4 linked regions of the Diceros bicornis minor genome follow. The protein of the gene in region 1 purifies or fractionates together with the protein of each later gene. This does not show direct contact. Links are inferred from orthologs where the notes say so. Each region holds a gene or a part of one and is shown on either strand. Other genes may lie near its edges. The genes, in order: HECTD1, URGCP, IQGAP1 and COPA.

Region 1 (7,970 bases):
CGCATCCTGCTAAAACAAGTGTCAATGGAGGGGCTAAATTATTATATACTCAAAGTTTGTCAATAACAAAAACTAGTTGAAACAAATGGGACACTAACAGGGGCCAGTCTGGTGGCGCAGTGGTTAAGTGCTCGCACTCCACTTCAGTGGCCCGGGGTTCGCAGGTTCGGAGCCCGGGCATGCACTGACACACTGCTGGTCAAGCCATGCTGTGGCAGTGTCCCATATAAAGTAGAGGAAGATGGGCACAGATGTCAGCCCAGGGCCAATCTTCCTCAGCAAAAAAAAAGAGGATTGGCATCGGATGTTAGCTCAGGACTGATCTTCCTCACACACACAAAAAAATGGGACACTAACAGATTGTGATTTGGCAACTGTTTATAAAGACTTTTATCATAATAGTACTGTTTTAATGAGATTTACAGCTAAGAATTATTGTTTATCAATTCATCTCCATTCACTATTCATTCAAAAATGAAGACAATTAAAATAATGTTAATTTAGTAATACAGCCTTTATTTCCACCTCAAAAAAATTAAGATAATTATACCAAATTTTATGTCAACATCTCAAGCATTTTCTACTAAATACTTTAAAATAGCATTAAAATACAGAAACATCTGAGTTTTCATTTACTTATAACTGGAATTCACAATTATAAATACAAATATAAAATAAACAGTAAAAACGAAACGTGTTGAGCACTCAGAAGAATGGTTAATCAAACAAGTATTACATAAGAGGAAAAACATGGCATTAATAGCCAATCCAGTGACGAATTCTCTTTTACATTTCTGCACAAATTCTACATTATAACCTCTTAATAAAATCGTTTAAACTCTCCAAACTTCAAAATCTGTTTCTACTATTCCAAAAGGATGCTATTTGGGTAACATCCAACTTATACCCTCCAAACTGAAATTTACAAACCAATGATTTGCTTTAACAAAAGTACAACGTCATGACTTAACACCAAGGAAGAAACAAGCAGTCATAAAACATAAGTTTATTATCATCTGTATTTTCACGCCAAAAATTTCAAGTCAATTTCTTGGTACAGAAATAGCTACCTTTAAAGAAGATAAGTATTTATATTTTCCCAGTTCATAACATATTTTGAAAATGAATCAACCAAGCTATGCATTAAAATTAGTATTTTCTACTAATTTCTACTCATTCAACAAACGTGTATTTGTGTCATCACAATTATCATTACTGGAGTTACTTCACCTACCAGTTTTTATTTCTCAGAAAAGTTTTAACTGCAAAACTGCAGAAACTTTTAAAAAGATAGCTGTAAAACTCACTAGAGAAAATTCCTCACAAACTGAAGTCAGCAAATGGTTGAAAACAGATGGCACTACAGTAACCCCAAAGGAAGATGATGAAGGGATGTACTTACGTTTCAAAACAACGATCCACGTTGTCAGACATCAAAAGCAGCATGCATAGCTGTTCAAGGGCTATTAGTTGCATGTCCCTTTCATCTCCCTGTCCCATCTGTAGCCATTCCAGCAACGTATCTGGATCCACATCTGCCATGGTTTTTTAAAAGCCTTTTTGCTTAAATTAAAAAAGTAAAGTAAAAAGTCCTTTAAATGTCCAGGACTGATCAGCTTGGGTTTAAAAAGTTTTCTTTTACATCAGCTAGAACCAAATTTTCGTGGTGTCCTCCTAGAATTAGAGAAAACTCATAAGTATGTTTGGATAGAGCGCTTAATGCAGTTTTTCAACTTTCCTTATTCCTCAGGTTTACCGTTCACTTATCATACTAACTAAAAACCAGTTTTGCACAAGAGTATAAACTGATTAGGTTGTTGCTTAACTGGAAACCAGAGCAGTCTTTGTCAGTCAAGCTTCGGATCCCACTACTGCTATCACTAACTTCTGTGCCAAAAGGCAAAGAACACCTTACTAAAGGTTCTTTTTTTTCCAGCAAACTTCTCCCGTCCAACCCAAAACAGATCTTCAGATAAGGGTTAGATTCAGTATTTTGAGGAAACTAAGCACTTTGATCCAATCCCCCTTCAAATTAAGTTGCTGCTTTAAAATTGACAAAACCTGCTGACGACTTAACTTACCGCTCTTCTTAAGATGTCCACCCCACATACAAACGATAATTAGACACCAAATCTATCTATGACTAAAGGCTTGGTTAGGAATTTTGGCAGTCTTGGCAACTGTTCTTAAAAGTTTAAAAAGAATCACTAAGAGCAAATGCAAGGGAATAGCACGTTACGGATCAGAGTATAGGCCAATCTACGGCCCTCTCTCCCCATCTCTACAGAATGGGACAGTTGGCTAAGAAAAGAGACAAAACAGAGAAGCAGCCCCAACAGGCAAGTGCTTACAAAAGCTCGGAAGCGCCCGGCGGGAGGACAGCTTCGGGGCCCGCGTACCCAGCTGCAGGTGTGGGACTCCAGCGGCGGGGCGCGGTGGGCACCCAACGGCGGCGGCCAGCAGGGTGACCCAACACCCCGGGCCCGGCCGAGCCCCGCGCCGGGAGGCGAAGCCCCGCGCCCTGGTTTCCCGGCACCAACCCCGCTAAGTTAGCTCCCCGTATCGGGGAGGAGGGGAAGTTCTGGAGGAGAAGCAGCCAGCCTCCGGGCCGAGCGGCGCCCGGAACTCCGAGGCCCGGCGGGACGTCCCCGGGCCGGCCGGGAGGCGAACCCTTCTCAAGGGCAAGGGGGGCCCGTCTTGGGCCCGGGCTCAGGCAAGCCGGGCCCCGCCGCGGGCAGGGCCGGGGGAGGGGAACAAAGGGGCTAAGCCAGGGAGTCGGCAGCAGCCCCGCCGCCCTCACCCGGGGCCGGGGTCTCGCTCCCGGCCCGCCGCCGGGCATCCCCGGATCCCGGCCCCAGGCCTGGCCCTTCCGACCGCCCACGGCGCTCCCGCCTTCCCTCCCCTCCGGCTCTTACCCGGGCCTGTCGTCCCAAAGCGCTCCGGTCCAGCTCCGAGCAGGCCGCGGGCAGAGCCAGGCCCGGCCGCGGCCCTCGAGTTCCCAGGAAGCCGCAGGCCGCGCAGCTCGAGCCGGGCAGGCGGCACAGGAAAAGCCGCGCCTCGTCCCTCCCCTTCCTCCGCGGGGAGCCGGTGACAGGCAAGCGAGAGGTTCCCCCGACCGGCGGCCGCCAGCGCACTTCCCGTCCCCAGCACGCGGCTCCTCAGGCCCTGCAGCTCAGAGGCCCGCGCGGTGCTGCCGGCGGCGGCGGCGGCGGGAGGCCGCGTCCATCGCGATTCCGGAGGGGGAAGGGAAGAGGGTCCGGGCGCGGAGGCTGCGGAGGGCAGCCGAGCTCGGCGGGGGCGGAGCAAAGCGACGCTCCTTGGCAGCGACCCCGCCGGCCGCCACGAGGGGCGCTGCGGAGACCCGTCGGCCAGCGGCGCGGGGGCGCCGGCCCGGGCGCTCTGGCCACCGAGCCTCGGGCTCGCTGGCCTCGCCAGCTGTCGCTTGTCTCTCCGATGCCCTGGCGCCTTTACGCTTCGCTGTCAATCCGAGCGCGCTCCCGGGCCCCGCGCACACCGGCGCGCGCACGCTCCGCTTGTTTTGCACGGCGTCTACACACTTGGCGTGCTCCCGCCGAAGGCCCCACGCTGCGCGCCAACGCTGCGGCCCAACCCGCGCCGGCCGAGCCTCCGGCCGCGGCGACCGGTCCTCCGCCAAGAGCGTCGCCTCCTCCCCGCCGGGCCTCGCCTGGCCTCGCGCACACGGAAGTGCGTCGCGAGAGGAAAAGCAGACCGCGCCGCAGTTCGCCAGGAAGAAAAGCTTTCACCACAACCCTCGGAAGTAAATATTATCGAGTGTTATCGCCATTGTGCAGATGGGAGAACTGAGGCTCCAGAAACCGTAAATTCCACTGGCGTCCCCAGTGAGCAGCAGCGCTGAGTGTGCTTTTGACTCTTTTTTTCTGCGGGTTGAGGTCTCAAATGTGTCCGTGGTTATTCCCTTCAAACGTTTTAGTTTACACGAATTGAAAATAAAATATGCCTGCTTATAGGTCGTGGTTGGAGGTGTTTAAGCTGTAATGAATTGGAAATGTGAGTCAAATAAGAAAATGAATCCCTTGGTTTGTGAGATAAGTAAATCCATGCCTCAGACACTCCCGCTGTACTCTCACTTTTTCATCTTTTAAACAAAAATGAATCTTACACGATAGTCTTTGAGATGTATTCCTTTAAGCAATCGGAGGAGCTGCTGCATATGCTTGAAGAACCAGTATTTTGGAAATTACAGATTTGCACTTCACATATCTGTGGCACATGTGCTACTGTCGCAGGTAATGGTCCCTAGGTCACCTATTAACAGATCAAGTCAGGAGAAAAAGGTAGAGGATTCTACTAACTTGTCACAACTACAACACATGAGAATAATTATTTGGGAGCTATGAATATGACTTGGAGCTGCCAGGAAAATCTTCAAGGAGGAAGTGGCATTCTTTCTGGACCTTGAAGAATGGGTAGAATGTCGACACTACAGGGAGGGGGAAGAATACAAAGCCTGGTATGTTCTGAGACAAAGGAAAGAGGCCCTGTGCCCCAAGCAAAGCACCTGCATTAAGCAATGGGAGGGAGAGAAGGTAGCAGCTAAAGTAAGCAGGGCCTTGAATGCTGAATGCTGAATGCAGAATTTAGGCTGGAGTAAGTAACAAGTTACTACAAGTTACTAGTAACAGTGGACTAGAACATTGACTGGAAAAATTAAGTCTTAGAAAGATTTCTAGGGCAAAAATGTCCAGTGGCTAAAAGGAGCTACCTAGACAAGGAGATTAGCTGAGAGGTTGCTGAAATCCTCCAATAGTGGATGGAGGAAGAGCCTAGTTACTGGCAATAAGAATGGAGAAGAAATACATCTAAAAAAAATTTTTTTTAAAGATATGTCAAAATTTAAATGATTAACTTCAATTAGTTTTTTAACCTGCAGAAAGGTCTTGGAAGCTAGGGAAATGATGATGCTATTAACAGAAAATAGAGAAGTTGGAAAAAGTGACTACACTTTTCAAAGTTTTGAAGGTATATTTTCCTTTATTCCCTCACCATCTCTATCTGCACCACCCACTTCCTACCCCCCCCCCAAAATTAATGACTGTGGTATGCTTTAAAGAAATCTATCAAGAAAATGCTGTGACTTTTATTGTGATTTTATTATGACATTATTATCTTAAATTCAAATATGAGATCCTAGAACAAGAGCATTAAAGGAAAGGAATTAAGCCCTGAAGAAAACAGAGGAAGCAGATGAAGGCAATACTGCCCCTACTTGAATCTATATCCCAGGAAACCAGGATATGTTTACATGCTAATAATCCACCTCAATGTTAAAATCTAAGAATAATGGACATTGAGAATTTTTATGTGCCAGGCACAGTAACTCATAGGCCTCATCTTCAATAAACTATAAAAGTCTAGGAGAGGGTAGATGTAAACACACTTCCCGTGTCGGCCTCTACGATAGTACTTATCCCATAACATTGTCAGGTACGCTGGAAACATCAAGGAGGTAATGGTGTCTTAGAAGGCTTCGAAAATGATGCGCGGGCTGGATCTCAGATGTTGAGTTGGAGCTAGCCAGACCAACTCCATTAGGTCTCCATTAGGAAGACCATGTGGAGAGGCATGGAAGTATGAAGAGGGCTCCTCTTGGGCGAGCAGAGGGAACAGGCCACCTTTTGAGGTAGGCCTCACTTTCACGAAGGATCTTCAATATACACACAGTCACTAGAGTCCTTTCACAAGATCAAGAAGGAAGAGATTCATCATTTACATTTAAACTCTTATCCCACCCACAGGCATTACTATAAATTAATTTTTTAAATAAATCATTATCTTATGGATAACACAACTATATGGCATTAAATTTTTTATGTATCAAAAGCATCCAATGGAAAATTCCAATAGAGTAAAAAGAAAAAATAATAATCACCTACCACCGTGAGACTGTCATTAACACTTTGATAACGTTTCTATGGCCTTTTTTCTAGGCATAAACATGTAAAATCATATATATTACAGTTTGTGATCATATTAGTAAACAATATGAAGTTAGTATGACATTAAACAAGTCTTAAGCCCTTTTCTTGGACTTCTTACATCACCAAAGTCCAAAATTCATCTACCCATCCCCATCCAAACTCACGTGTTATTCAGGGAATCGTTTTGATCCCTTTTATCAGCTAGCTAAAGAAGCCTGAGGGCCAGGTTTAAATTAGCTGAGCCTGGAAAACTAGCTGCTTTACTTCAGCCATGAGGATTAAACTTCTACTCTCAGAGATTATGTGTCTGCCATAGCAGAGTTCGAGAGGTGAGCAGTTATTCAAGTAAAGCTGCTTAGGAGACAAATCCATCTAGGTCATTCAAAACCAAAATTATCTTTTACTTCCCTGGAGGTCATTTGCCATAGATTATCTGAATCCTTGTCTTTAAGACCCAGGAACGTAAATCGGAATTTAATGTAAATGTGGAGCCTGGGGAATAGTGTGTGATTTACTAGGTAAATGCAAATGGCTTGATAACACCCGCAGACTAGATGTATGTATTATTAACGTGGGAATGTGGATATACTGAGGTATTCTAGAGGTTAAGGCAGGGAGCTTCTTGACCAAGGAAATTAACCACCAAGCTTTCAAGGAAATGTTATCTGTACTAGTTTTTCTTTGAAAATCATCATGACTGTGATTTCAAAGTTTTTTATTATTCAATTTCTTTTTTTTTTTAATTTTTTATTTATTTATTTTTTCCCCCCAAAGCCCCAGTAGATAGTTGTATGTCATAGTTGCACAGCCTTCTAGTTGCTGTATGTGGGACGTGGCCTCAGCATGGCCGGAGAAGCAGTGCGTCGGTGCATGCCCGGGATCCAAACCCGGGCCGCCAGCAGCGGAGCGCGTGCACTTAACCGCTAAGCCATGGGGCCGGCCCTATTATTCAATTTCTTTAGGCTTATATTCAATTTTCTGATGTGTACATAATATGTATACACAAGTGTATATATTTTTATATGTATAAGTATATATGTATATGAAGTTTATATATACATATATGTGTACACGTCACATATATGTATATATAAACTTCTAATAACAGCTTTATTGAAATATAATTCACATACCATGATGTTCATCATTTTAACATGTACAGTTCAGTGGCTTTTAGTATATTGACAAAGTTGTGCATCAGTTACCACTATCTAATTCCAGAACATTTCCATCACCCTTAAAAGGAAATCCCATACCCATTGGCAGTCACTCCACATTCTCTCCAACCGCTAGTCCCTGGAAATCACTAATCTACTTTCTATCTCTCTGTTTTTACCTACTCTGGATATTTCATATAAATGGTATGTGGCCTTTTATATCTGGCTTCTTTCATTCACCAGTATGTGTTCGAGGTTCATCTATATTGTAGCATGTGTGAAAACTTCCTTCCTTTTTATGGCTGAACAATATTCCATTGTATGGATATTCTACTTTGTCTTTATTCGTCAGTTCATGGACATTTGCGTTGTTTCCAGTTTTTGGCTATTATGAATAATGCTGCTGTGAACATTCATGTACAGATTTTTTGGTAGACTTATATGTTTTCAATTCTCTTGGGTATATACCTAGGAGTGGAATTGTTGAGCCGCATAGTTTAGCTTTTGGAGGAACTACCAAATGTTTTCCAAAGCATCAGTACCATTTACACCAACAGTGTATGAGGGTTCTACCTTGTTATTATCTGTCTTTTTTATTATAGCCATCCTAGTGGGTATGAAGTAGTATCTCATTGTGATTTTGATTTGCATTTCCCTAATGGCTAACCATGTTGAGCAGTTTTTATGTGCTTATTGACTATTCATACATCTTCTTTTGAAAAATGTCTATTCAGATCCTCTGCCCATTTTTAAATTGGGTTCTTTGTCTTTTCATTGTTGAGTTGTAAGAATTCTTTACGTATTCTGAATAGAAGTCCCTTGTCAGATGTATAATTTGCAAGTATTTTCTCCC
Region 2 (7,687 bases), on another chromosome or scaffold:
ACCTACAGGGACACAGTTTAGGGTCTATTGGCTCACAGAGGGGCATACCAGCCCAGAAACAAGTCTACTCCTGACCCATATCTACAAAGTTGTGGGCTTGGACACCAAATGCACCATTTCTTTTAAAGGGCCTCATGGCAGCCCCACATAGGCTCAGCCACCCCTGCTGCCTCCAGGGGGCCCTGCCTCACCCTTTCCTGACAAGAGGGGCAGTAACACAGCGGGACCTTGAACCCCTGGGTGAATCAGGCTGGTCTTCTGAGGGATGGGCTGCTGTTTACTCTATTTATGAGCTCAAAGTACTGGGTATTTCGTGAGCACTGCTCCCCAAACCTAGAAAGACAGCAAGTAGATGGAAAACGCCCATGACTTGGCTGGAGTCAAATCCAGGCTGCTCCATTAAGGCCCACTGCACTGAGCCAGTTCACTCCATGGCATGGCTCAGGCCTCACCTGTAAGAGGCCTGCTATCCATCATCTCTACCACACAGGCCTCGACAACTGTAAATGCTCTTCGTGAAATGTAAAGATGTACAATTTGAATTGCTATCACAGCCACTACTCTAAGACCCTCTGAATGGTAGACAACAGTCAAACGAAGAATTTTACCAACTAAAGCAATGACCTTGAGACTAATTTTCCTCCTCTGTGAAGTGAAGATGTTGGATCAATTCTTTCATTCCCAGCTTTCATGACTAGCTAAATTACCAAAACAAAAAGTAATCATAATGAAACGCTGAGGTTTTATTTCGCAAATAAGGATCTAAAAAAAAAATGACAACTCTGTCATCATTATTCGCTAAAAGGAACACGTTAATACGAAGACAGTAAAAGAGAGCTGATGTCAGAATAGGGGCAGCCATCCCACCAGGGCCCGCGGCCCGGCCGACCAGGCGCCCCGGACCGGGCCGGCGCGGGGTGCCCCCAGCCCTCGCTCCTAACGTTCAGGCCACGTCCCGACGGCGGTGAGAACCCAGCATCAACTCCGACGCGAGCAAGTGGAAAAAACACAGACCGAGGGCCGGGCGGCAGGCGCCCGCCGACACCCGGCGCCCGGGGCGGAGCGGCTCCGAGGCCTGGGGCGCCGGGGGCCGCGCCGCCCTGCCCGCCCTCCCCCGGCCCTGGCCCCGGCGCCCCCGGATCCCGCCCGCGCGCCGCTCTCCTCCGCCCGCGCCCCCGCAGCCCCCCGCCCGGCCGCGTCCGCCCAAGGTCGGCGGGAGCGGGCCCGGGGCCTGGAGGGCGGCAGGGGCCCAGGGCCGGGGGGCCGGGGGTCCCGCAGGCCGGGGGGAGGCCCGCCCCCGCAGCCCCCACCTCGCAGCCCGCAGCCCCGACCCCGGCGCGGCCCCGAGCGCCGCACTCACCCGGGCGACGCCATGAGCGCGGCGAGGTCTCGGCGCTGCCGCCGCCTCCGCTTCCTCCGCGCAGAGCGACTCCGCCGGGGAGGAGCCTCGCGCCGGCCACCGACCGACCGCCCGGGCCGCTCCAGGCGGCGGGGCTCGGGGAGGGGCCGGGGGTGCAGGGAGGGGGCCAGGGACACGCGGAGGGGGCTGGGGAGCGCGGGCCGGGGGCCTGGAGTCGACCCGAGAAGGCCTGTGAGTGGGCCCGTTGTACGATAGGGGTGCGGCCGGGTATCGGCTCGGGGAGGCGGGGGACGGGATGTGAGTGGGCCTGGGGTCAGCTCGGGGCGGCAGGGGCGAGGGGAGCACGGGGTTGGCACCGGGGGCGTGGGGCGGCCCACGTCGGCCTGCAGCGCGGACCCGCCCACCTGCCCAGGTGCCCCAGGTGCTCAATCTCCGGGACTCGCCAGGAGGCTCCTCTGGTGCAAAACCAGCCGAAAACCTGCCCTCGGGCCACGACGCAGCTGCCGGATTTTGGTGAAGTCAACACCTCCCTGCGATTTGAGTTTAATTTCCGTAAGAAAAGCCTTTCCTTAGTCCAGGACTACAAGGCGTTGTTATTATTATTAAGCAAAACAACAGCTTTGCTATTTCTTACTTGCTGTGCTGTCTTGTACAAGTTGCTGGCCTCTCCGAGCCAGTTACCCCCGTAAAATGTGTGTAAAATCACATTGTGGAGCCCTAAGGACTGTGGGCACTTTTATTATTTATGTTGCATTATTAAGCAATAATAATGAGTCTGGAATTCCTGCATTGGTGTTTCACAGCATCACTTGTGGGTGCTTGAGCCTCAGTTCCTGTCTCAGCAAAATGAGTTTTCAGAAGTAATTGAGCTCTTGTAAGTGAAAACGCTTAACAAAAATCTCTGAACAATATAAACCACTGTTGATCACATTTTTGTTATATTAAATATAATTAATCATTATGTTATTATTTTTACCAATTAGAATAAGAGACAACAAAGCAGTGACTGAAAGCCTTGGCTCTGGAACCAGAATACCTGGGTTGAAATCTGGGCTCAGCTAATTACCAGCTCTGGAACCTCAGGCAAGGTAGAACCTTCCCAGAGCCATAGTTTCCTCATTTGAAAAATAGGGATAATAATGGGTTGTTCCTTCCTCTCTCTGAGGGTTGAATGAGTTAATATGTGTAAAGTGATTAATACATTGCCAGGTACATGGTCTCTTTCCTTCCCTGAGAATCCATCCTTGTTCCCTTCAGTAAAATAGAAGGTCGCAATTGTTGTCTTGAGTTCAGAAAACAATTAATGCTCTGTCAATGTGAGCTGATAAGTAAAGCCACAGGGGCTTATTAGACCCAATTTAGGTATAAATCCAAGAGGACTAGGGTTAGAAAGAGTTTGGGGAGTGGGCAACCACTAAATGGCCTGATTGAAGGCAGCAATGATTGCCACTGGAGTGAGGGAGGTCAGATAATATTTTTAAATAAACTTTGTTTTAAAATATATTTAAAAATAAGTAATATATGTTCACTGAAATTAAATATTCTTCCTCAACATGTTTTAGTGAGTATGTGGCATTTCACAGCCGAACACACATTCTTCTCAAGTGCAAATGGAACATTCTCCAGGATAGACCATATGTTAGACCACAAAATAAGTCTTAATAAATTTAACAAGATTTAAATCATACAAAGTATCTTTTCTGATTACAATAGAATAAAACTAGACACCAAAAATAGAAGGAAAACTGTAAAATTCACAAATATGTGGAAATTAAACAACACACTCTCAAACAACTGATGGATTAAAGAATAAATCACAAGGAAATTAGAAAATACTTTGACAAAAATAAAAATAAAAACACAACATACCAAAACTTATGTGAGGCAGCAAAATTAGTGCTAAGAGGGAATTTTATACCTGTAAATATCTACATTAAAAAAGAAGAGGGGCGGCCCCGTGGCTTAGTGGTTAAGTGTGCGCGCTCCGCTGCTGGCGGCCCAGGTTCGGATCCCGGGCGCGCACTGACACACTGCTTCTCTGGCCATGCTGAGGCCGTGTCCCACATACAGCAACTAGAAGGATGTGCAGCTATGACATACAACTATCTACTGGGGCTTTGGGGGAAAAAACAAATAAATAAAATTATAAAAAATAAAAAAAAAAAAAAAGAAGAAAGATCTTAAATCAATAAACTCTATGCCTTAAGGAACAAAAAAATGAAGAGCAAACCAAACCCAAAGCTAGCAAAAGGAAGGAAATATTAAAGATTAGAGCAGACAAAAATAAAATAGAGAATACAAAAACAATAGAGAAAAATCAATGAAATAAAAAGTTGATTCTTTGAAAAGATCAACAAAATTAACAAACCTTTAGCTAAACTCACTAAGAAAAACAGAAGACTCAAATTACTAAAATCAGAAAGGAAAGTGGGGACATTACTACTGATTTTACAGAAATAAAAAGAACTGTTAGAGAATACTATGAACAGTTGTACACCAACAAAGCGGATAACCTAAGGGAAAAAATAGCTTTCTAGAAACACACGATCAACCATAACTGAATAATGAAGAAATAAGTAATCTGAATAGCTCTACAACAAGTAAAGACATTGAATTAGTAATCAAAAAACCTCCCAACAGAGAAAACTGTGGACCAGATGGCTTCACTGGTGAATTCTACCAAATATTTAAAGAAGAATTAACACCAATCCTTCTCCAACTCTTCAAAAAAATTAAGGAGCATTTCTCATTCTATGAGGTAATTACCCTGATACCAAAGCCAAACAAAGACACTACAAGAAAACTACAGACCAACATCCTTTATGAATATTGATAGAAAAATCCTCAACAAAATACTAGCAAACAGGATCCAGAAACATAGAAAAGGATTATACACCATGACCAAGCAGGACTTATTCCTGGAATGCAAGGATGGTTCAACATATGAAAATTGATTGATGTAATATATACATCAATATGATGAAGAAAAAAAAACACATGATCATCTCAATTCACGCAGAAAAAGCACTTGACAAAATTCAATGACCTTTCATGACAAAAACTCTCAAACTAGGAATAGAAGGAAACTTCTTCAACCTAATAAAGGCCATATATGAAAATCCCATACTCAGTGGTGAAGGCCTGAAAGTTTTTCCCTAAAACAGAAACAAGAAAAGGATGCTCACTTTTGCCACATCTGTTCAACACAGTACTGGAAATCCTAGCCAGAGCAATTAGACAATAAATAGAAATAAAGAGTATGCAAATTGAAAAAGAAGAAGTAAAATTATCTCTGTAGATGACATGATCATATGTGTACAAAGCCCTAAAGATTCCACAAAACCCAAACAACAACAACAAAAACCTGTTAGACCTAATAAACAAATTCAGCAAAGTTGCAGATGACAAAATCAACACACAAAGATCAGTTATGACAATGGCAGCAGGCCACACACATGTTAACACTTGCAGCAGGCCTGGCCACAGACCTCAGCAGTAGGTCCATCCATAGAGCCATCAGCCAGCCCACCCAGAATCTCTAACCAGGCTGACTGAAGAGGTCTTGCCCTGCTGACACCAGTCAATAAAGACTAGAAAAGGTACTGCTTCTTCAAATGCACAGATACCAACCCAAAGCCAGAAGGATCACAAAGAACCATGCAAATATAATACCACAAAGAAACCTAATAAAGCTCCAGTAACTAACCCTAAAGAAATAGAAGTCCATGAACTACTTGACAAAGAACGCAAAAGAATTTTCTTAAACTCAGTGAGAGAACAAAGACAGTCATCCCCAATAAACAGATGAAAAATCCTCACCAAATAGTAGCAAACTGGATTAAACAGCATATTAAAAGGATCACACACCATGAAAAAGGAAGATTTAGCCCTGGGATGCAAGGATGGTTTAAATTATGCAAATCAATCAATGTGATACACCACATTAACAGAATGAAGAATAAAAATCACATGATCATCTCAGTAGATGCAGAAAAGGCATTTGACAAAATTCAACACACTTTCATGATAAAAACTGTCAACAAAATAGGTATAGAAAGAACTTACGTTAACACAATAAAGGCCATTTATGAAAAGCCACAGCTAATATTATACTCAATGATGAAAAGCTGAAAGCTTTCCCTACAAAATCCAGAACAAGGCAAGGATGCCCACTCTTTCTTCTCCTTCAACATAGTGCTGTAAGTCCTAGACACAGCAATTAAGCAAGAAAAAGAAATAAAAGGCATCCAAATCAGAAAGGAAGAAGTAACATTATCTCTGTAGATGACATGATCTTCCATGTAGAAAACTCTAAAGACTCCACAAACACAAAAAATCTACTAGAACCAATAAATGAATTCAGTAAAATTGCAGGATACAAAAATCAACATACAAAAATCAGTTGCACTTATATACACAAACAACAACCTACCCAAAAAGGAAACTAAGAAAACAATCTTATTTACAATAACATCAAAAAGAATAAAATACTTAGGAATAAACTTAACCAAGGAGGTGAAAGACTTGTACACTGAAAACTATACAACATTGATGAAAGATATTAAAGAAGACAAAAGCAAATGGAAAGACACCCCATGTTCATGGATTGAAGGAATTAACATTGTTAAAATGTCCATACTACCCAAAGTGATCTACAGTTTCAGTGAAACCCCTATCAAAATCCCAATGGCAGTCTTTACAAAAAAAAAAAAAAAAGAAAAAATAGGGGCCGGCCCCTTGGTGTAGTGGTTAAGTTTGGCATGCTTTGCTTCAGTGGCCCAGGGGTTCGTGGGTCTGAATCCCAGGCATGGACCTATCCCACTCGTCAAGCCATGCTGTGGCAGCATCCCACATAGAAAATAAGAGGAAAGACGGGCACAGATGTTAGCTCAGGGCCAATCTTCCTCACCAAAAAAAAAAAAAAAAAAAAATAGAGGGGGCCAATCCAGTGGACTAGTGGTTAAGTTTGGCAGGCTTTGCTTCAGCAGCCTGGGGTTCGCATGTTTGAATCCCAGGTACGCACCGCTCATCAAGCCATGCTGTGGTGGCATCCTACATACAAAATAAAGGAAGATGGGCACAGATGTTAGCTCAAGTCTAATCTTCCTCAGCAAAAAGAGGAAGATTGGCAATGGACGTTAGCTCAGGGTCACTCTTCCTTACCAAAAAAAAAATAGAAAAAAAGAATCCTAGAATTCATTTGGAACCACAAAGGACCCTGAATGGTGAAAACAATTTTGAGCAAGAAGAACAAAGCTAGAGGCATCACACTTCCTGATTTCAAAATATATTATAAAGCTATAGTAAGAATAGAGAGCCCAGAAATAAGTCCATGCATTAACAATCAACTGATCTTTGAGAAGGGTACCAAGAACACAAAATGGGGAAAGAATAGTCTCTTCAATAAACTGTGATGGGAAAACTGGATTGGATATCCACAGGCAGAAGAATGAAGTTGGATCCTTATCTTACACCATATACAAACATCAACTCAAAATGGATTAAAAACATAAACATAAAACCAGAAACTATAAAATTCGTAGAAGAAAACATAGGGAAAAAGCTAAATATTGGACTTGGCAATGATTTCTTGTATATGACACCAAAAGCACAGGCAACAAAAGCAAAAATAGATTAATAGTGGGGCTGGCCCACTGGTGTAGTGGTTGTTTGCCCGCTCCACTTCAGCAGCCTGGGGTTCACAGATTCAGATCCTGGGCACGGACCTATGCACCGCTTATCAAGCCATGCTGTGGCAGGCATTCCACATATAAAGTAGAGGAAGACGGGCATGGATGTTAGCCCAGGGCCAATCTTCCTCAGCAAAAAGAGGAGGATTGGCAACAAATGTTAGCTCAGAGCTGGTCTTTCTCTCTCTCTCTCTCTCTCCCCCCTCCCCCTCCCCCTCCCTCTCTTCCTCTCCCTCTCCCTCTCTCTCTCTCTCTCTCTCTCTCTCTCACACACACACACACACACACAGAGTAGTACAGTAGTTCTAGCCATTTAAAAGCTATAGGGCCAGCCCTGTGGCTTGGCAGTTAAGTGCGTACGCTCCGCTACTGGCGGCCCGGGTTCGGATCCCGGGTGTGCACCAACGCACTGCTTCTCCGGCCACGCTGAGGCTGCGTCCCACATACAGCAACTAGAAAGATGTGCAACTATGACATACAACTATCTACTGGGGCATTAGGAGGAAAAAAAGGAGGAGGATTGGTAGTAGATGTTAGCTCAGAGCCGGTCTTCCTCAGCAAAAAGAGGAGGATTAGCACGGATGTTAGCTCAGGGCTCATCTTCCTCAAATAAATAAATAAATAAATAAAATAAAAG
Region 3 (7,165 bases), about 77 Mb from region 1:
TCCTGCTGTCTAACCTTCCATTTACAAAAACAAGTGTTATTATCATTCTCCCCACCTAAATCATCACTAATCCCAGTCCCCCTTCCCCAGTCTAATGGAAGGGCTTTAAGCTCAGAAAAGAAGCCTGGAATCAAGAAGACACACCAAATGCATGTTAGTGGTAGGCCCAAGGATGGGAAGGAGGAGACTGGGACCAGAGAGAGGCACAAAAAGGACTCCATGTCTTTTAAGAGGAAAGGGAAAGATCTGAAGGGCTAACAGTTGTTAGTTCTGGAATACATGGATGTTTGTTGTTTTGTTCTCTGGACTTTCCTGTAGCGTTTTAAGATCTTCAGAATTACCAAAACACTCTTGTTTATTAGCACCATTTGAAACATCCTTGATTTTCAGTAGACTTTGATCACCAATACCCTTGATTAGCCCTTGCTGGCCTTTTCCACCAAAGCTCACTTATAGGATAAATGATCTGTAATTACATCTATCTACCCTGGGACCTTGCAAAGGAACACAAGCACCAGAACAAAAGAAATGAACCACTGATAGCAAATTGACACTCTAACAATAAGACCACAAGGTCTGGGAGTATCAGAAAACAGCAGCTGTACATTCACTTCACAAAGAATGCAGAGGATGCTGCCTTTGGTAAACCGTCTTTTAACATTGCCAAATAGAGGACCTATACCCAGAGCATTACCCAGGGGAGAATGGACCCAATTCATATAAATCAAAACCAGTGAGAAACCAGTGAAACATAAAGGCCAAGAATTTCAAACACTAAAAACGCTATTTCTTCCCTACAACTGGCAGTGCCCAAAACACGCATCATAAGCATGAAACTGAACAACACAAATCTGGAAATTTTTCAGTATATGTAAGTGCCCATCAATGTTTCACGATAAACTGCTATCAAGGCTACTTGCTCCCATGAATAAATACCCTAACTATACTTATTCCTTCAAACTACCAGCCTCCCACAGTCACACCTACAACACATTCAAAGAGATCTTTATCTGTGTTCACACCATATCAGCTCCCTTCTCCCAGTCTTCTCTCCAGCCAGCCAATCTTTACCTCTTTGCTTCTTCCAAATGACAAAGGTACTCATAAGCCACATTCTGACGTCTCCTTTCATCCATCTCCTCTGCCGTGAGTCTCTCATTATCCAGGACAGCTAAAACATGAAAGAAAGAATGTAAACATAAGAATCTGTAACCTTCCCAAGCGATAAAAGAATGCCACAGCATCAAATTCCTGCTAGTCACCTAGAGACTCAGGGTAACCTGTGGATGTGTGGGTAGCCAGGTGTACAACAATGACTGTCCTAAAACAGGAATTACGGGGTTTCAACTATACTCATCTTACCCTTTTTTAAAAAGTATGGTAATATGAACATGTACTAAAATTCAGTGTAACTTGAAAAATACTGACTTGAGATTTTGGCCCAAATTTGTCCTCGTCTATCTGCCAGACTAGCTCTAAGTACAGAGCTGATCATGGTATCTCCCTCTTTTATTAACAACCAAAGCCAGCAGTCATTAAGAACTAAGTGGCAGTAATAAGGCTAAGCAGTTTACATGCATTCTCTCATTGAAGCCTCACTAGCCTGTAACTGTCACTCTCATTTTATAGATGAGAAAACTGAGGCTGGGTGATCTTAGCCCCACAGCTAATAAATGATGGGGCCTGGATCCAAACCCAGGCAGTGTCTCAAAAGCCTGTGAGCTTAACCTCTGCAATCAACCTCCTTCATGAGCACCAACGTATGGAATAAATTCCTAACTCCTTGGGATGGCATTCAAGGCCTTTCCCAATTTAGCGCCAACTATTTTTGGAAACTCTCCTCCCTCTCCCTGTTCTTCCTCCCACCACTGTGCACTCCACACCACTCAGTTCCTGTCACACACAGCACCCTTCCACTCTTCAACGCCTTAGAAGAGTTTATACTCTTCTCTCTTCGTCATGTCTCCTGGCCCACCCTGCCCTGTCAAACTTTACACAGCATCCTTGAAGACAGGCTCCGTCAGAACGTCACTCCCTGTGTTCCTCCTGCCTTCCCCACGCTCCTCCCCCCACTCAGGGTACTGTTTATGCCTAGTTAGTTCACTGCATCTTTTATCTTCACTACACCTTATTAGCATTAGGTTGTACGCCTGTTTGTCTCTCTAATGAAAACGTTCTTTGAAGGCAGGGCCTAGTCTTACTCATGTTTAATTTCACAAACGTGACACAAGACCTCACAGATAACTGTTGAGTGCAATTATCCTAAAAACAGAACATTAGTCCCAGAACATAAAACTGAAAACCTCAAGACTCCAAAGGACTCGCCTTTGGTAACTATGCCGCCTGATCCAATGATGTCCTAGGGACAGCAACAGAAAATGAGGAAGTCAGAGGTGGGTTTTTTTTTTTTTTTTTGAAATCCTGACGAGGGAACTAAGCCCACGAAAGCTGAAGTGACTTGACCAGGGCCACACCTCTCGGCTAGCCTGGGGCCGGGCAGGTATGGACGCCGGGTCCACCTCGCAGGCAGCACCTTCCCACGAGGCCGAGCAGAGGCCCCGTCTCCGCTCCCCGGCCCCGGGACACGCCCTGCGGCGTCCGCCTGCCACCTCACCCAGGGCCGGCTCCCCAATCTCGGTCGAGCGGCAGGCGAGAGGCGCTGGGTGGGGCCCTCCAGCCCCCGCGCCCGGTCCTCCCCGCCGCCTCGGAGACCGGGGGCGCGGGCCCGGGGCCTCGCCGCCCGCCACCCCTCCAGCCCGCCGCCGCCCGCCGCCCGGCTCTTCCGGGTCCGCGCGGCCCGCAGCCGCCCTGCCCCACCCGGCTGGCCGACTCCCCGGGGAAAGGGCACCTCGGAGGCAGCGAGCCCGGCCCGAAACCCCCGCGCCGCGGAGCCCCGCACTTACAGCCATAGTGCGGCCGGGCCACGCCCAGCCCGTCAACCTCGTCCGCGGCGGACATGGCGGCCGAGCCCGGGTCTGCTGAGGAAGAGGTGAGACCTCGGAGGCGCGGGCGACGGCGGCGGCAGCTGCTGCAGAGTGCGCGGGCTGCCCTGCTCCCGGAGGCCCCGCCCCGCGCCACCGCCCCACCCGCAGGCCCCACCCCAGCGGCCCCACCCTGCCGCGCTGACGGGAGCGGGCGGAAGGGGGCGGGGCAGAGCCGCCCGGCCCCGCCCTGCGCGCGCACGGTCCCGGGAGGTGGAAGGAAGGAGGCGGAGCCCGGCTGCCAATCGAGGTGCGACGAGCTCCGCTTGGTGGGGAAGGTCCGCCCCTGCCCTGGAGCCTTTGCGTCCCCGGCCGCCGCCCCGGCCGCGCCTCGGACAAAAAGGCCAACGGTGTCGGTTGCTTGAAATAGAAAACGTGGGCCTTCCCCTTCCACTGCCTGCCCATATAAATTCCTCTGCGCCAAAGAGCTCAAGGAAGGCGTCTGTTGAAGTGCCCTAGCGTGTTCTTGCTGGACACAAGCAGGACACAAACTGCCATAAGGGACCTCACAGTCTGGCAGTCTGGCTTCAGTCCTCTCCTAGATTCGCCAGCAGTCGCCAGATTTGGACTCCTCCACCCCCCAAGTATTTGAGAAGTGGGTGCTAAAGCAGGAGAACAGTGTTTGTCCAAACTTCCTTGCCTTGGATTTCCTGCCACTGTTAAGTTCTTCTTTTTAGGGGATTCCTTGCCCCTTTTAGGGATGCCTCTTCCTCTTGCACTTTGTGGCCTGCCCCTAAAATGTTGGTATTCAGCAGAATTCGGTCAGTCCTCTTCTTTGCCCACTCTTGGTAACTTGATCTGTGCTCACCTTGAACTGCTGAAGAGCCCTAAATATATATAGCTCCAGACCAGACCCTCTAGAAGCCCTAACTCAATATTTTCAGCTGTGTAATGGACATTTTCACCTCTGAATCCCGCAGACACTTCAAATTTAACGTGTCGAAACTGCCCCTGCTCCTGCTATATTCTCTACTAACAGAAGTGCTCAGTTCGCAGCCGGGACACGCCAGTCTCCTTGCCTCGTGCCCTAAATCCAATCGGTATTGCTTCTGAAGTGTCTTGCTTTTGTCTCTATCTCCACTGTGATTACACAGTTCAGATTGTCGTTATCTCTATTCTCCGTTCTGCCAACTAGCTCCTCACAGTCAACAGCATGTTCTTTCTAAGGTGCAAACGCAGTTGTGTTATTCCTTTTTATATTTTTTCCTATTACTCCCTTCGGGTTATGGTCCAAGTTCCTTAGCATGCCAAATAAGCCCCTTCACAACCTGACTCCAGGCTTTTTGCTCTAGCTGTTTTCAATTTATCCACTCTTCCTTCAAAGTACTAAAGTGAGTTGCTTAAAAACATAAGAACAAAACACCCCCATTAAAAAATGGGCAAAGGTTTAATTTACAACAAATTCAAAAGTTAGTTCTTTCTTAAGCTTTTAAGTTCAGCTTACAAATTTTATTCTAGTTATGTCTAGCATATTTTACCACTTTTCAGAAACTTTGAATAATTTTTGGTCCCATTCACAAACTTAGTTAATCCAACATCTTCAAACATTTAAAATTATGTCCATAAAAATATCTTAGATTTTCTTTTTAATTTCTTCAGTTATCTAATCTAGAACCTTTCAGAGTTTAGTAATCCTTATAAATCAAGTAAACGTACAAATATAATGAATCCAAAGTTTTCTTAGCCCAGTTCCAAGTGTAAACTTAGTAAGATTTCAACTCAAAATCTTAAGTCTAAAACTAACTCAATTATACATTTAAAATGAATTATAAGGCTGTCACTCTAATAAGCCAAAATTTCTTAAAGATTGCAAGTTCATGAAATGTGAAATATGCACATATTTCTTCTTAACACCAACATATTAATCCCACAGTTTTTACCCCATTAAGCCTTTCTGTATTTAATTCTAAAGCTTCTCTGAGTTGAAAGACACAGAGCTGCTAAGAAAGCCAGTTTCCAACCTAGTTAACTAAGATTACTTTCGATCAGACATTTCTACCAGACATAAGTCCTGGAGGCACAGACTTTTAGAGCCATTCTTCTCACTGCGTCAACTGTCATTTTGAGCCCCTTTTTATATTATGTCATGGTCTTCAAAACTCGTTACCTCATCCTCTAACTACTCTGAGAAATCTGCAAGTCCTACACAGTTTATCTTTTGATTTTATTTTATATTTCTTGGCTTTTAAGATATGTACATTGTGTTTTTATTTTAATTCTAAAGACCTGTGTAAATGGATGGAATCCAAACATGTAAATGTATTTTCTCTCTAACGATAAAGATTATGAACCTGTTGGCCTCTTGCATTTTTTCTTATTCCTAGGACCATACAATTCTAACAGGTATTTTTTTTTATAATTTTTTTAATTTATTTATTTTTCCCCCAAAGCCCCAGTAGATAGTTGTACGTCATAGTTGCACATCCTTCCAGTTGCTGTATGTGGGACTCGGCCTCAGCATGGCCATGGCCGGAGAAGCGGTGCGTCGCTGCGCGCCCGGAGCGCGAGCACTTAACTGCTAAGCCACGGGGCCGGCCCTCTAACAGGTATTTAAATCAATATCCTATTGAGTTTCAGATAGCTCACATTGCTTTATCTGATGGTCACAAATTAATTCATACTTCATAACTATAATAACTGAAATGTACTGAGGCGTTACTGGACTGTTTTGTATTTATTTTCTCATCTGAGCCTCATAATAATCCTACAGAGTAAGAACTGTTATTATCTCCAATTTACAGATGAGAAAATGGAGAACTAACTCAACTGAGGTCACACAGCAAGAGGCAGAGCTGGAACTCAAACCCAGGTTTGTCTAGTGACAAAGCCTACGTGCCTGGTCAATAAACACAAGATTCAGAGAAATGAACATTAAGATCATAACTGGCCACTTACCACTTCTTGCCTATCAGAGTAGCAATGTTTTGTTTTAATTGATATTATTGGCAAAGGGTTGAAAAAGCAACCACTCTCATGCACTGCTGGTTGGGCTGTAAATTGATACAATCTTTCTGAAGTCCAACTTAGCATTTATGTAGCAATCTTTCAAAGAATTCCACTTCTTTAAAAGAATATATCATAACAAAATTATTATTATTTTTTGTGTGTGTGAGGAAGATTGGCCCTGAGCTAACATCTGCCAATCCTCCTCTTTTTGCTGAGGAAGACTGACCTGGGCTAACATCCATGCCCATCTTCCTCTACTTTATATGGGACACCGCCACAGCATGGCCTGACAAGTGGTGCCTTGGTGTGCGCCTGGGATCTGAACCGGCGAACCCCGGGCAGCCGCAGCGGAGCGTGCACACTTAACCGCTTGCGCCACCCGGCCAGCCCCCAAAATTATTTTTTAATGTGCAAAAATTAGTGATGAAGATGCACATTGGAAATGTCTTAAAAGCCCACCACTAGGTTTTTAAATCAGTGATGGCACCTCCACACAATGGAACGCTATACAGTCATAATAGTGATGATTTGTGGTTCTGGTCAGGCTTGCCTGGCTACAAGGAATGGAGACCCACTTGTTTTACCTCTAGAGGAAAAAAGCCTGGAAGGGAGGTATTTCTAATAAAGATATATATGGATTGGAACTAGAGCAAGAAAAAACAGGACTAACGGAAGCTTGAAGGCAGGGCTCTGTCCCTCTGGGTATATCTGCTTCTCCACAGGTCTGCTCTTACCCTCCTCTCTTCGGCAACCAGCTTCATCAATTCTAATATTTTCTGCTCCGTCACAACTCTGGCTTCTATTTGGCTTGCCATGGCCTTGGGCCATGACATCCTTACACCATCAGCTCCTTTGAGGATAATCTCAGTTGCCCAATTCCCGTAACCCAGTGGCATATGATTGGCCCAGCTCATCTCTTCACCCCATGTGTATGTTTCTGAATGCCCACAAGTGGGCTGCCCTTGGATCAGATGCCAATCCTTTAGTTCAATTAGCTGTGGTCAGGAAATACAGCCAATTAAGGATAGAAAACTGTGAGCTGGGCATTATTTCCTTCAATGGGAGGCTGGGTAGGCAAACAATGATCAATATTCCTAATATGATGGTTAAGTGGAAAAAAAAGCAAATTATGAACTAATAAACATATTATGATACCATTTTTGCTTTAAAAACATATAGATAGATATAGATGTGCATATGAATAGAAAAAAGCCTTGAAGCCTATACACCAATACATT
Region 4 (7,127 bases), on another chromosome or scaffold:
AAAAGAGCAAATGATCCAATAAGCTAAGTAAGCCCCATAATTTCACCTCCTGTCAATTCTGACATGAAAAAGAAAAAGCTAGGTTAATCCTAGGTTCATACATTCATTCTTTGGATGCCAGACATTATGAATTTTGTTATTAGGTGCTGGATTTTTGTTATATTCCTTTAAATATTGTTGGGCTTTGTTTTAAGATGCAGTTAAGTTACCTGGAATCAGCTGATCCTTCTGAGGTTTCCTTTTAAGTTTTGTTAGGGTGGGGCCCCAGCAGCCTTTAGACTAGGTCTAATTTGGCACCACTATTAAGGCAACACCCATCTGAGGTCTCCATGTGATGCCCTGTAGTATTAGGAGGTCTTTCCATTCTGGCTGCTAGGAACACAAGCTATTCCCAGCTCTATGTGAGCGCCAGAGATTGTTCTACCTTCTCCTCTCCAGTGGTTCTTTCCCAGGCTTTGGGACTTTTCCTCACAAGCATGTGCAGATTAGTCCTCAGACAAAGCCCTGACAGGATCCCCTGCAGAACTCCAGGGTTCTCTGTGCAGCTCCCTCTTCTCTGGTATTTTGCCCAGCAAACTCTAGCTGTCTTGTCTTCCCTGAACTTTAAATTCTGTCTCCTCAGTGAGACCACTGGGCTCTTCCCACCTCCCTATATTGCAGCCTGGAAACTCTCTCCAGGTAGTAAGCTAAAACAATCATAGGACTCATCTTGTTTAATTCCCTTCTCTCAAGAATCACTCTCCTTCACTGCCTGTCATCCAACATCTGAAAACCTTCATTTCCCACATTCGGTTCAGTTGTGCAGTTGTTTAAGGTGGTGAGATAAATCTGGTCTCTGTTACTCCGTTATGATTGGAAACGGAAGTCCACAGAAGTCACTACTGCTAACATTTTGGAGTGTATCCTTTCAGATTTTTAATGCAGACCATATCACTTTACTAAAATGGAGATAATATTATAATGTTCTGCAAACTTCTTTTCTCACTTAACTATATATCATGGATCTCATTACACTTAAGTACATATAAACATAACCTCATTCTTTTTAAAAACTGCAAGGTACAAATGAATCATATTTTTAAATTATTCTACTGATGGGCTTTTACGTTTTTTTCCCTAACTTTTGTCTATCAGAATACTGGGCCTAATGAAGACACTTCCACACATATTCTAGCCTATTTGCATTATTATTGCTTTAGGCTAAAGACCTGGAAGTGGGATTGCTCAGGAATAGCATATGTGCATTTAACATTTCGGTAGATACTATCTGACTGCAAAAAGACTATCAATTACAGTCTCACCAAGTTTCTGAAGGTACCCATATTGCACACCTTGGCCAATGTGAGAGGTTATCACTTATCTGTTGTTTTGTTTGTTTTACTAACTTAAGACCGAAAAAAAGGTATTCTCACTTTTTTTTTTTGCATTTCTTTCACTACTAGTAAAGTGGAGAACATTTTCATTTACTTTCATTGAATATTTACATTCTTCTAAATTGTCTACTGTTCCATTAGGTTGTTTTTTTTCCTTTATGATATATAGAAATACTCATTAATGGATATTAACTCTCAAATATTCTGACATCTTTTTTTTCCCACTTTCTTTCTCTACTACCCAACAAGAAGTTAGGAGCAGAAGAGAAAACTCAAGGATTATGAAGACCCATTTCAACCATCCAGGAATTCTTAAGGATACTCTTCATGATCAAGATTCTCATGACATTTAAAAACTGCTCAGAATCTCTTCTCACATTAATAATGACCTCCAGTTTTTGAGCTACTGAGTCTACGCCAGGCACTGTAATAAGCACTTTTCATATACCTTCTCGTTTTAATTCTCTCTATAAGAGAATGTTAATTATTCACATTTTACAGATGAGAAAATAGAGATTTAGAAATGTTAAGCAATTTGTCCAAGGTCACACAGCTTGTTAGTAGATGTTTCAGGATTCCAAAGCAAGCCTATCTGACTCCAAACACCAAGTTTCTAACCACTTTGCTATGCTACATCTCATTAAATGTTCAAGATATATATATATTTTTTTGTTGTTGTTTTCTTTTTTTAAGTCTCAGGAGACCTTACTTCCCCGCCTTTCCCACCCTACCATTCTAGGAGACTACTACAGTGATTTCAGTTATTTGCCCTCCACCCCCATCCATTGATACTCAAGCTCTAGAGTTGCCATATTTAGGAAATAAAAATAAAGATTCCCAGTTAAATTTGAATTTCAGATAAACAACGAGCAATACTAAAAAAATTACTTGTTGATTACCTGAAATTCAAATGTAACTAGACTTCCTGTATTTTACCTGGCAACCTTATCAAGCTCAGATTTTACTGGGGTTACAGGCCTCAATGTCCTGTTTCCAGGTAGGAAATAAAGCCCAGTGGTGGCACTAGATGTTGATATGGTGCAGCCAAGGGCTCCTTAAGAGAAGTAGCCAGTGCTCGCCTCCGAAAAAGCTGACTTAGACGCGAATTGTAGAGGTCGATCCTCAATCCCCAGGGCCACTCCTTACAACACGGTCGTCAAAAAGCCAACACACAGGGCCTTGAGAGCAGAAGAATAAATGACGGGAGCACAGGCCCTAGGAGAGGAGGGAAGGGGAAAGAATAGGAAGCGGGCTAAGGGCCCTCCTGCCACGCGGGAACCACTACAGATAAATCAAATCCCAAGGACACAACAAAGAAGAGAGGACTGGAGAACCGCCTGCCAGGCCTAGCCTCCCTCCCTCCCTCCCACTTTCCCTCCCTCCCACTTTCCTCGGGGTTCGTACGGTGGGCCCAATTCGGCCGGCACGTCAACCCTCTCTCTCTTCCCCCGTGAGAGCGCCGCCCCTGACACCGAGCCTCCATACTCCCCCTTTTCTTCTCACTACCTTTGACTCGCGCGCTCTTGGTCTCGAATTTGGTTAGCATCCTTCAGGCCTCGGGCTCCAAGGTGCTAATCAGAGCCCCACCGCTCCCTGCCGCCCTTCGGTTGCCTCCACGTCAGCGCCCCTCAGCAGCGGCTCCCGGAAGCTCCACGGATACCAACTTCCGGTCCGAGGAACTCCGGGCCACAGAGACGGCGCCAGTGTTGGCCTAGAGAGGCCGCTGCTGGACCAGAGGGGAACCGAGGCTTCCGCTCAGCCGAGAGGCAAGATGGCCACGGCGGGGGGTGGCTCTGTGGCTGACCCGCGAAGTCGAGGTTTTCTTCGCCTTCTGTCTTTCTGCGTCCTACTGGCAGGTGAGGCCTTCCCCGCCCATGAGCTCCAGTGTAAGGAGAACCCTCCGGATCGGCCCAACCGCAAGCGCCGCTGTCTTTCTTCTGGTTTCCGCTGCCCCTCTGTCCCCCCACCCTCTAAATCCGTCTTCTCTTTCGTTCCCACGACAGAAGTTCCCCCTTTGCCTGGACCTGAAGGTCCTTTTTCCCCTGCGGCACGTCATGTCGCCCCATTTCCTCCTCCAGGCCTCTTCCTGGACTTCCAGCCCGACTCTCTCCCCCTTTATCCAGATGCCTCATTGTCCCCGTGGCCCCAGTCAGCCCACCTACAATCAAAACGGACATTATCAGAGTTCAGCTTCACTTCTCAGCGCGTTTAGACTTTCTGAAAGCAGCCTGGTTGTGTGTGTGCGCAGTGTGACTCTTAGGAAAGTAGATTTTCGTTTCTTCGTTTGTTGATTCCACTGTAAACCCGCGTCTCTGTGCTTTGCCTCAGTTTGTCTCGTCAGGCAAGTGAGACAAAGATAGGATATGGGTACTCTTAACTGTTTAGACCATGAAAGAATGATTCAGGGAACTTTAGGCATTTACAATGTGCATAAGTGTTTGCTTACACACATTTATTTTCTGATATATGGCTTTCTAGTTGGTCAAGCCCTAAAATATAAACATGCCTGTTTATAACCCTGACCTACCTTCCCCCAAACTTACATTGTTTTTAAAGATCTCCAAAGGAGAAACTATAGCTGCCCCACACTGTGGGCACACATGGATGACCTACTGATGTTAGAGTAACTGACAGGTGTGTGGTGTAAGGTTTCTCCCAGTTCTCTTCAGACTCCTGGAAAAACGTCTCAGAAAGATTTTTTTATTTTAATCTATGTTCGTAGACTGGCACTCTTTTATTAACTAATTAGTAATATACATACAGGATAGAAAAGCAGAAGTGTGGTCACCCGTGCAACCAAAAGCTAGTACATCTGTGGTTAAATTGCCTTTCCTTTGACAAACCAAATTTTCTGTCTTTTAGCTTCATTGTCAATTGCTCTATGTGGAATTTGTAGTAACCCTCTGAGGCAAACAGCTGAGTGCATTTATCTTTCCAATAATGTGCCCAAGAAGTAAGAAGAATGGACATTAGTCCCATTTTAGAAAGTATGATATACCCAAGCAGTCCAGCGAGCTAATGACATGATAGAGGCTGGTACCAATGTCTCTTGTTTTCTTCTAACACGTTTTATCTTCTGATCAGGTTTGTGTGGGGGAAACTCAGTGGAGAGGAAGATCTACATCCCCTTAAATAAAACAGCTCCCTGTGTTCGTCTGCTCAACGCCACTCATCAGATTGGCTGCCAGTGTGAGTTGAGGTTGGGATTTGTGTTTGTGACTGTTGATGTTTCAGTCGGCCCCAGATATAAAGATCCAAGTCCTGCTTGGGAGTCTGCACACACAAATTAGGCTATGTGGGTTGGAGGTAATAGAGAACCATTTGTCAAACCAGGCAAGATAATAAGAGCTAACATTTAGTGAATGCTGCATATTAAGTGTCTTACACGTGCATGTTATTTAACTCACAACAACCCCATGAAGTAGGTTCTATTATTATCTTCATCTTACAAATGATGAAACTGAGACTTGGAGAAGTTGAGGAACTTCCGAGATCATCCTGACAATAAGTAATGAAGCCAGGATGTGAGCCCTGGTGGTCCAAGTTTTAACCAGCCAGTAGGTTAAGTAGCAAACTATACTGTTTCCTAAGCAGAAAGAAGTCTCGTATTCTGTGGAGTCCAGTCATCATCCGTACTCTGAATGATCTTTTTGGAACCAAGATGGGCTTCTTTAAGGCAGTAAACTATTTGAAGGGAAGGCATTGAGAAAGCCAAATTGTTGCAAGAGGAATTAGTGAAACATTTAGATTTGTCTTTATGCTTTGTAAAGGTGTTCCAAAACAGAGTACCATGACAACATGGTTATAAAACTATAAAAGGGGAAAAAGTTGTGATCTGAAGGCTGAATCCTGGTTCCTCTGCTGCTTAACCCGCTCTCTTCAGATTTTGTTCTTCTGTGGCTAGTTGCTCTGTCAGAATGTAGTTTGCAGGTAAGCAGGAAACTTAGACTCAGCTCTTGGCTGCTTCAGCCTCAAATAGGTCACCTCTGAATTTCAGTTTACTCCTATAAAAATGGTTAGAATATACCTGCACAAAGCTGAAAGTTGAACTGCCTTTAATAGATGTTGATTGATGATGCTGAGTAAGTAGTGTGGTCTCAGCAGTACTGTATGATTGCGTGAAACCTTCCAATTTCGTGGGAAAAAACTGAGGCACTGGGAAGTGAAGGACTCGCTCAAGGTGGCAGTTACTACTTTTCTACGCTTCCTTCCATGAGCTATACTCTATGTTAATTGCCCCGCGTCCCTGTTACAGGAAGTACTGAGAGTAGGCTAACTGGTTCCAAATAAAATTTTTTGTTGGATTTAGTTCTTAAACTGGGTTTGTGAGGAGAAGGGAGCCATGTCCAGTGTGGGCTGAGATCAGACTATTGGTCTTGCTGGAATCCCACTCTCGTGCAAAAGGCTACGACCCTATCCTCCTGGAGCTGGGCTCTAAGATATCCTCTTTGAGAATGAGTCATTCTGCTGCATGTTCTTAGAGCAGCAGCCCTGTGGGAAGCAAAGCAATAGCCTCTAGAGATAAAGCCAAGTGCCAGTACAGAGAAACAAGAGGGGAGGGGCTGGACTCTGGCCACTTCCTCATTAAGATCTTGTTTCCTTTTCAACCTACTTATTTCTAAGTCTTACTTCATCGTATTTGTCCATCCTGAGCAAGCTATACCCTCTTTACTTAGGGTTTCTAACATGATAAAATTAAGGAGAAAAAGACCCAGGTTTGATTTTCTGATTATAATGCTCTGTTTCTATTAGACCCCTTTAAAGTGCCCAAAGGGGGCTATATGTGGGTTTCTTTTCTTTTCTTTTCCTTTCTTTCTTTCCTTTTTTAATCTGTCCGCACAGTCTGAGATGAATAGGGGTGGAAAAGCTTCTCCTCATTGAAGCCCTAGAGAAAGTAAGCAAGTTACTTAAGACTACACAGTTACCAACTGGAATCCAGATTAGAATCCAGATTTTTTCAGTCCAGTGTCATAGCTTGTCTTCCTGTCCTCCTGGAAGCTGAAGTTATATATTTTTTATTTGCCAGACTAGTTTTTCCTTTTCCTGTGTTTTAAATGCTGTGGCAATAACTGTTGTCTTTTGTTTTACTTGGGACTGCCATTGGTAGCTAGATCTTTACTAAAGTTATTCCAGATTCTGATATTTCTCTATATTTTATTATCATCACTATCAACATAAACTTATTAAGTATTTACTATATATAAGACATAGTTCAATGTTTAGGATCTGCTTCCATGTCTAGATTTTACCAGATCCCGTGGGAGAAAAATTCTACTTGGCTGGCAGTCTAAAAGTACTTACGCTTTTTGTCTCATGCAGGTTATAAGTTTTCAGTACCTTGGTTTTAGAGCCATAATTCTCATGCCTGGCTGTGTATAATAAAGAACCACATGTAGCCTGTTTTGAAAATAACACTTACCTGGGCCTCACCTTAAGAGATTTTAATTTAATAAATCTGAGGTAAGGCCCAAGTATCTGTATTTTTTAAAACTCCAGAGTGATATTCTGATACACAGCCAGGGTTGAGAACTACTGCTCTAAAACAGTTTATGAATAACACATCCAATTTTGAGTGGGGATAAGACTCATGGGGAGACCCTAGAATGTCTCTATATGGATCACTGGGGACTTGAGGGGTATTGCTACATAGAACTCAAGTCATTCTGGACTGGAGATCATCCATCCTCTAGTGCAGTGCTTCCCAATCTTTGTCATGTCATGAGACATAGAAAATGTTATTTGTATGGCATCTTG

The links.
Region 2: the proteins of HECTD1 (region 1) and URGCP purify together in Homo sapiens (affinity purification with mass spectrometry; 4 studies listed by BioGRID and IntAct, with this or other methods). This does not show direct contact. The link is inferred for Diceros bicornis minor from reciprocal best matches to the Homo sapiens genes HECTD1 and URGCP.
Region 3: the proteins of HECTD1 (region 1) and IQGAP1 purify together in Homo sapiens (affinity purification with mass spectrometry; 3 studies listed by BioGRID, with this or other methods). This does not show direct contact. The link is inferred for Diceros bicornis minor from reciprocal best matches to the Homo sapiens genes HECTD1 and IQGAP1.
Region 4: the proteins of HECTD1 (region 1) and COPA purify together in Homo sapiens (affinity purification with mass spectrometry, with the first as the bait; 3 studies listed by BioGRID). This does not show direct contact. The link is inferred for Diceros bicornis minor from reciprocal best matches to the Homo sapiens genes HECTD1 and COPA.

Annotation. Positions count from the first base shown.
Region 1 is NC_080744.1:17,489,375-17,497,344, reverse strand, and holds the start of HECTD1 (E3 ubiquitin-protein ligase HECTD1), read right to left. Parts: upstream 3,002-7,970; 5' UTR 2,916-3,001; intron 2,483-2,915; exon of another isoform or gene 2,352-2,482; intron 1,675-2,351; 5' UTR 1,543-1,674; coding exon 1,403-1,542; intron 1-1,402. UniProt on the Homo sapiens protein: E3 ubiquitin-protein ligase which accepts ubiquitin from an E2 ubiquitin-conjugating enzyme in the form of a thioester and then directly transfers the ubiquitin to targeted substrates.
Region 2 is NC_080780.1:1,092,853-1,100,539, forward strand, and holds the start of URGCP (up-regulator of cell proliferation), read right to left. Parts: upstream 3,003-7,687; 5' UTR 1,375-3,002; coding exon 1,361-1,374; intron 1-1,360. UniProt on the Homo sapiens protein: May be involved in cell cycle progression through the regulation of cyclin D1 expression. May participate in the development of hepatocellular carcinoma (HCC) by promoting hepatocellular growth and survival.
Region 3 is NC_080744.1:94,456,536-94,463,700, forward strand, and holds the start of IQGAP1 (ras GTPase-activating-like protein IQGAP1), read right to left. Parts: upstream 3,017-7,165; 5' UTR 2,959-3,016; coding exon 2,904-2,958; intron 1,172-2,903; coding exon 1,072-1,171; intron 1-1,071. UniProt on the Homo sapiens protein: Plays a crucial role in regulating the dynamics and assembly of the actin cytoskeleton.
Region 4 is NC_080743.1:65,001,486-65,008,612, forward strand, and holds the start of COPA (coatomer subunit alpha), read right to left. Parts: upstream 3,021-7,127; 5' UTR 2,920-3,020; coding exon 2,880-2,919; intron 1-2,879. Other genes in the region: NCSTN (nicastrin), read left to right, coding at 3,145-3,229, 4,458-4,562. UniProt on the Homo sapiens protein: The coatomer is a cytosolic protein complex that binds to dilysine motifs and reversibly associates with Golgi non-clathrin-coated vesicles, which further mediate biosynthetic protein transport from the ER, via the Golgi up to the trans Golgi network.